Drosophila melanogaster: one gene and its partner. Each later gene encodes a partner of the first gene's protein in a complex. Each region holds a gene or a part of one and is shown on either strand. Other genes may lie near its edges. A codon is read from its position in the direction of its gene.

What was found. Proteins that work in one complex are often made in the same cells at the same time.
Region 2: the proteins of Ilp5 (region 1) and ImpL2 are in contact, whole or in part, in a crystal structure (PDB 6FEY), measured with the Drosophila melanogaster proteins. Residues at the interface, in NP_996037.2 of Drosophila melanogaster: Cys92 (codon at 879), Cys93 (codon at 876), Ser96 (codon at 867), Cys97 (codon at 864), Ser98 (codon at 861), Phe99 (codon at 858); in NP_728961.2 of Drosophila melanogaster: Ser116 (codon at 1,020), Ile118 (codon at 1,014), Leu186 (codon at 810), Trp236 (codon at 660), Tyr260 (codon at 588), Val262 (codon at 582), Leu263 (codon at 579).

What each region holds. Positions count from the first base shown.
Region 1 is NT_037436.4:9,822,651-9,825,735, forward strand, and holds Ilp5 (Insulin-like peptide 5), read right to left. Parts: upstream 1,248-3,085; 5' UTR 1,224-1,247; coding exon 1,061-1,223; intron 990-1,060; coding exon 826-989; 3' UTR 699-825; downstream 1-698. Other genes in the region: CG43897 (uncharacterized protein), read left to right, coding at 1,896-1,990, 2,153-3,085.
Region 2 is NT_037436.4:4,224,351-4,227,950, forward strand, and holds ImpL2 (Ecdysone-inducible gene L2), read right to left. Parts: upstream 1,601-3,600; 5' UTR 1,543-1,600; coding exon 1,534-1,542; intron 1,357-1,533; coding exon 577-1,356; intron 502-576; coding exon 487-501; 3' UTR 360-486; downstream 1-359. Other genes in the region: CG46460 (uncharacterized protein), read right to left, coding at 2,331-2,426. UniProt on the Drosophila melanogaster protein: Essential developmental role during embryogenesis, in particular the normal development of the nervous system. May be involved in some aspect of cell adhesion.

The DNA.
Region 1 (3,085 bases):
TGTCTTTATTTTTGAGCCAAAATGGGCCTGCGGCGAATGAGGTTGTCACAATGTTTACACTTCCTTCAAATTAATCAACTAATTAAAGTTGAGGCCGACAGATGTGAGTGATTTTTTGCCAAATGTTCCCAGCTAAAAGGTCAATGTCGGATCTAATGAGGAATGGCTGACGTTCGTCTTAAATTGCCGAAAAAGCTTAAAGCTTGGCGATTATCTCTGGACTTTGTCGTCCATAAATTCTTTAAGGTCTTATCTCAGCAGGCACATTTTCTTAGCTTAAATATTTCTGTTTGTTATCTCGTTTTGTTGAGGCAAAACATTTCGTCCCAGATTAAGATGATGCGTTGAAAGCAAAACATTTCAAGCAAATTATAATTAAAGTTGAAAACTCTTTTTGCCAGCTTAAAGAAAATCGCCAGGCAAGCGAAAGGCATAGTTTTGTTTGTGTGCAAAATTTCCACCCAACTTGCTGCGATTTAAATCAAAATTTGATTTTCCTTCCGCTCAAAGGAGCATATTTTCGTATGGAAAAAAATAAACATTGTTATAATAGAATTTGGATATATCAAAGTGTGTTTAAAATTGTTCATATTGTTCTTTTGCTAACCATTTAGTGTATCTGTTCACTTTTAAAGGCTAAAATTATTATCGAAATATTTATAATATTTAATGTTTGAAGAAATTAAAAAGCGATGTTTCGAATTGCGCTTATTTATTGTAGTTTCAAGTTTCAAAGCCGTGCATATAGTTTATACTTAATACTTTTACGTAACATGTCTCATATATGTATGTATGTAAACTGATGGACCAGGTATCGCAGCATTTTTAGGAGTCGCAGTATGCCCTCAACGTGGAAAAGGAACACGATTTGCGGCAACAGGAGTCGACAACGCCGCGAAAATCGCGCCGAATGCTCGACAGTGAGTTCATGTGGTGAGATTCGGAGCTATCCAAATCCGCCAAGTGGTCCTCATAATCGAATAGGCCCACTGCAAGTAAAATAAGTGAGTTCGTGCCGTTTGGAAACCCCAAACCCCAAAAAAACGCAGCCGATACTCACAGGTGCCTCGTTTGGCGAACATTGAATTGAATCCATTGGGACAGGCAACCCTCAGCATGTCCATCAAGGCGGGGCCACAAGCCCGCAGCGAGTTTGCGGCCTGGGCGGATAGCAGGAGCGGGATCAGGAACAGGAGAACTGGGATCACGGAGCGGAACATCATTGCCTTGCTGGAACTGCTGCTGGATAGGATGTGGTGCAGTTTCCGCCGCTGTCAGCCATTTTTATATCCGCCGGCGCACTTTCACCTGTCAGATTGGATTAGTCTTTTGGGGTCAGCGTGGGCAGGAGCGTACTTGCTAATTTTCAATGTCAGGACATCGCAGGGTGCTATCATTAATTTATGCCCATGGATTAGCGTAACTTTCGCTTAATCGGATGCACCAAGGGGGTGGCGGAATCTATATATAATAGCTGAAATCAAAATGTATAACGATATATATGGTCTTTAGTTAGAAGGGCTTTCATTTTCAATATGTTTAATTGGCTTATCGTGCAAATAGTGCATACGATCATAAGTTTGTATTTCATGAAATATTTAAGTAATGTACTTATTGTATATCTAAGAAAGTAAAGTCGTATATTACATTTTTGCCTGTTCACATGTATAATTCTATAACATATACCAAAAGAACGCATGACAATCGAATACATGCCTGCGAGGAGAGCATATTTAAAAATAAATTTAAATTTGGCGCTAACTGCTTGCAAGCAGTCGAAGCAGTGCGCCAAACACACAAGCAGTATATACCGCGAAATTTAAAATTTTACCTCATACAATATACGATGTGCATTGATTCTTACTAATTGTATTGTATTTTTACGTTATTTTTAGGATTGAAGTCGACGATCAAATAACGAAGCCCCTGAACTTGGCCAACTCGGCCGTTCTGCGCGCCGTCGAAGAGGAAGAACAACAAGCCAAATGTGGTAAGATATACCTCTCTTTTTTGGATATTTGTCTATGCGCGTTTATTTTATGTTGCCTAGACAAAAAGAAACAGTGTAGAAACATACAACAAAACAGCAAACTCCAGTCCCAGTGCTCGTCCAATATTAGTGTTTTTTACAGATAAATTTAAATAAATTCAGGGGACTTCCCCCACAAAGATTTTTACCCCACTGAAAGGCAGAGTCGCCCGCGTCAACGAGGCGAGGTGGATGCACTGCATCACACGCTGCACCAGCAGCTTCTGAACCAGATCAAAACAGACTATCTCAGTCATCAGCAGGACATCACTATCGATCGGGACACGGTGCTGAAAATCAACCGTCTGGCCACCAAGAGGCATCTGCTCAAACGGGATCACAGCTGGCCTCCAGCTGAGCAGGATCAACCAACTATCAATCCCGAACAGAGCCATCAGATCTCCTGCAGCCCATCGCACAGTATTGAGGCTCTGAGGGAGAAGTTCCAGAGTCCCACCCTGGTTATCGAACCCACTGCCAATGAAGTGAGAGAGCAGCGACGACGCGATGGTGGCTCCAAAGAGAGATCAAAAACGCTCCAAAAGCACACCAAAGAACCTGACCTGGCGGAAGTTTTCCATCAAACTCCCATATCCAAGGGATTCTCCGCTCCAGAGACCAAGGCAGCCGATGTGGATTTGGGTTTGGTGGCTCCGCGATGTGAGTACTACGAGCAATTGGCCCACAAAAGGTCCGCCACACCAACTCTGCCCACTCAAATCACTCCATATAGGCCAAGATACAAGAGACAGGCTCATTCCCTGGATCGTAGCCGCTCCCGGAAACGTACAGTGGGTGCTCCGGAATTGCCGCCACCTAAGCCGAGAACTTCAAAGCCAAAAGTCCAACGGCGGTGCATAAAACTGGCCACTGAGGTAAAGATCTCATATGGCCACGACGGCGACAGCGAGGATGATCCCAATTCTGGTCAAGATGTGGATTTGGAGACCTTGCCGCTGCCACCGACACCGGTGTCGCCAGCTGCCGCAAATCTCAATCAAGCGAAGACAGCAGGGCGAATGGTAATTGACAACGTGGCAGTTAAACAGCAGCAGC
Region 2 (3,600 bases), 5.6 Mb from region 1:
GTGCTTCTTGGGCTGCAGTGCCCTTAAGTAAACGGCCAATTAGTTTAAATACGTTAACTAGTGCTGCCTGAATCGCTAGGAACAATCATTGCTACTTACAAAGAACCAAAGAAGCGTGATTACAAGCCGATAACTAAAGCTATAATTGAAGAAAACCATAAAGTAGGTGCTATAATTCGAATGCTCTAAATGTGACTGATATTCGAGGATAATAAGTGGGAAAATTAGTGTCTAAGCCGGCATTAGATACGGTTAATTACCTGGACTACGAGCTAGATTGTGCTTAATCTAAATTGTACATAATTGTAAATCGTATGACCTTTTGATCCATCATATTTTTTTTTGATTTTTTTTTTTTTGTATTTTTTCTAAGCATATTTCATTTCTTTTCACGCATCTTCGAAGGCATTTGATCTATCTAACTAACTAGATGAATTTCCGTCGTCAATCCAATAGCCTTTTGTTTTTTATTTGGTGGTAGGATCTTTAGTCTTCCTCATTCTGCAAGGACAAGAAAAATACGTAGGGATTACTTAGGATGAGTTGGTATAACCCGGCGGGTAGGGGAATACTTACAAGTACGGGATACACGAAGGTATCGGCGGTATCCTTTCCGACGACGTTGCGGGCTATGCACTTGTAGTTGCCCATATCCTCCCACTTGATCTCGGAGATCAGAAGATCGCCGTTGGCCAGCACCCTGTGGCGATGTCCTTGGACGATCTCCTTGTTCTCGTTATTCAACCAGGTGATCTCGGCGCGGGGACGGGCGTGCACGCGGCAGGGCAGCTGAATGTTGGAGCCCATGAGGTCCAGATGCGTCTTCTCGGTGTAGATGATTCGCGGTTTCTGGGCACCCGGGTAGGTCTTCTCCGGCGTCAGACGAGAGGAGCGAGGAGGATGCACCACAGTGCTGGCATAGATGGTCTTGGAGCCAGTGCGTCCCACACACGTGTAGGTGCGGGCCTCGCTCAGCACGTGGTCGATGATATGCGACGATCGGACGCGCACAATGGCACTGGGCGCCTCTTCGGCAACCTGGTTGGAGTCCAGATCATCGAGCTCCGAGCGGGGCAGGTGACCCACCACCCACTGGATGCTGGGCACTTGGGAGCCCATCATCTCGCAAACGATCTCGATGGTGGCTCCATCGGCCTGCTGCAGCTTCGTCGGCGGCGTCTTGGTGAACTTGAGCCAGTCGGCTTCGAAGGCTCGGTTGCGTGGCTTCTCCTCCTCCGCCTCGATGGAGTTATCCACGTCGTTGCTATCGTCTACCAGGTCCACGGCTCTTCCGCGGACAGTGGCGATGCTGCCGAACAGCAGCAGCGCTAAGGCGCACACATGTAAATTCATTTTCTGCAAGATCGATAGAGAGAGTGGAAATCGGAAGTGAGTTCAAAGTTCAACAGCGGCACTCGTACGACTCTAATATAGGTTATTAAACCCCAGAGCAACGTGATGCGATTAGCCCGACTTTTCAGCCAGTCATGCATCCCCCCACCACCCCACCACCCCACTTCCCCCACTCATCACCGCCTCCATTAATCAGGGGAGGTCTCCGAGTCTATTTCCCCGATAAGAACGCAAGGCCTTCAGTCGGCGGGCTCTAGAACATTACTAACACTTGCGAAATGTGCTAATGGCTCTCGGAGTCCGGAATTTAGATTCGGAATCCTTTTCCGGCCCCTAAGAGATGTGCTCGGTCCAAACGTAGATGAATGTATTTCACAATGACACGTCACCAGACAACAAGAATTGACAAAAGAAAATGATATAAGATTCTTGCGTGGGCCGAATCAGAGGCAGAAATCGAAAACGGAAAACGGAATGACTCGCGGAGTGTGACGTCAATTTAAATTCGAATTCTACAGCCCGATTCGGATTCACACACTCACCCACGCTTCAGCCGCAGATCAAGGGCCAATGTGTCCCCATAGTCTAGACTGGACAAACTGCGTGACCGATTAATTATTCAAATAGTTTCGAGGGTATTATGTATGTACATACGCTTGTATGTATGAATTAGTAGTAGCCCCACAAAAAGTCATTCGCCAATCGCTGGCGAATGTTGCATCAGACGGTCTTTGCCCTTCGACGGTGATTTTTGTATCTTTGGGCATTTCTACGAATTCGAATTTTGAAAAAAAAAAAACAAACGAAAAACGGAACACGAAACTGCGTTCGGCGGCAATCACCTATCTATTGTTAACGCACATTACTCACCCTTTGATTTGATTTCTTTTTTCTCTTCCGGTAAAAAATGTTTGCAAATTTCTCCCCAACGTTGGACGATGATAGATCAGGTAAAGCAGAAGCAGGTCGGCTTATCGTTATGTTATGAACGAATTTATCAGCTCTATGTTGTGATGGCTCCTGGTCTGGGCTTTCTGGTTGAAGTTGAGCAGCAGCTGGCTTAGCACTGACATAGGTCCGGCGCTGGATGCCGTCTTGGAGGTCGTGCAGCTCAGTGTTGGTGGAATCTTGGCTGCTTGCCGGTCTGTCTTGGGCGACGAGGATGGATCGTATTGAAACGTCTGGGTGCTGTGCTCGGGAGTGGCGCTTCAGGATCGGGATAAGGATCGAGTAATTGGGTAGCGGAAGCGTGTTAATCTCAGGCGGCGTAGCGAATATCTAGCTGACTACTTTGGCACATTCGATCCTCGTGGCGGTATCAGTGCTCCTTCGATGTGGACGTGGACTTGGTCTGGTACTTCTTGATGGTTGTCTGGTTGGCGCGGCACTCGTTTGAATACGCACGGTTCATCGACATTACACTCGAGTCAAGGTGTGTTGGTTTTTGGTTTTTGGGGGGGATTGCTGCTGCGAATGCGGTTCACGGCGAATTGAAAAGCGAGGATCGCGGATCGGCTTAGTTAACTTCGGATCAGTTGGCTTCGGCGGCTCTCAAAAGTCGTGTTCAACAGCTGGAAACTGTAACAGAACTGAATTGGTGGCCGCAGCGCTGTTCCATTTATATGCGACGCCGGCTCACTCACACACACACACAGACAACAGACACACACACACACACTCTCACTCACTCGCCGCTCTCTCTCTGCTCGTTCTCGGATCGTAATTCTTTATGCGACCGCCGCACCGGGAAGGTGCGGAACAAAACAGATATAACCGGACGGGGGGTTCGATTATCCGCCTCGGGATCTGTCTTTCCACCGCCTAATTGCGTCCGCAGTCCAGAGTTGGTGGTTTGGAAACTGAGGTGTCTCACAAGGATAGCTCAATGACTTTCCAGCCCATATACCATTTCATTTCGATCTTGACAATTAACATTGTCATCTTATGCAAGTTGTTGAGAACATACAACAGTGTTCGAGATCCTATGACTTTCTATCACATGTAAGTAAAATTAATTAACCCTACATATAAAGGTGCTTCACACTACTCTGTTAATATTCATGAATCATTTCGACGAAGTGCAAAGTATCAACCGTATATTATTCGTTTAGCTTACTGAATTAGCACTGTAGTTGTCAAAACCATTAATTAAAACTCCATGGTTTCGAATTCATTCGAACGAATTAATTTTGTAATCCATAACCAATCTCCCAATTAATAACCACCCATGGGAATCAGAACTTAAAG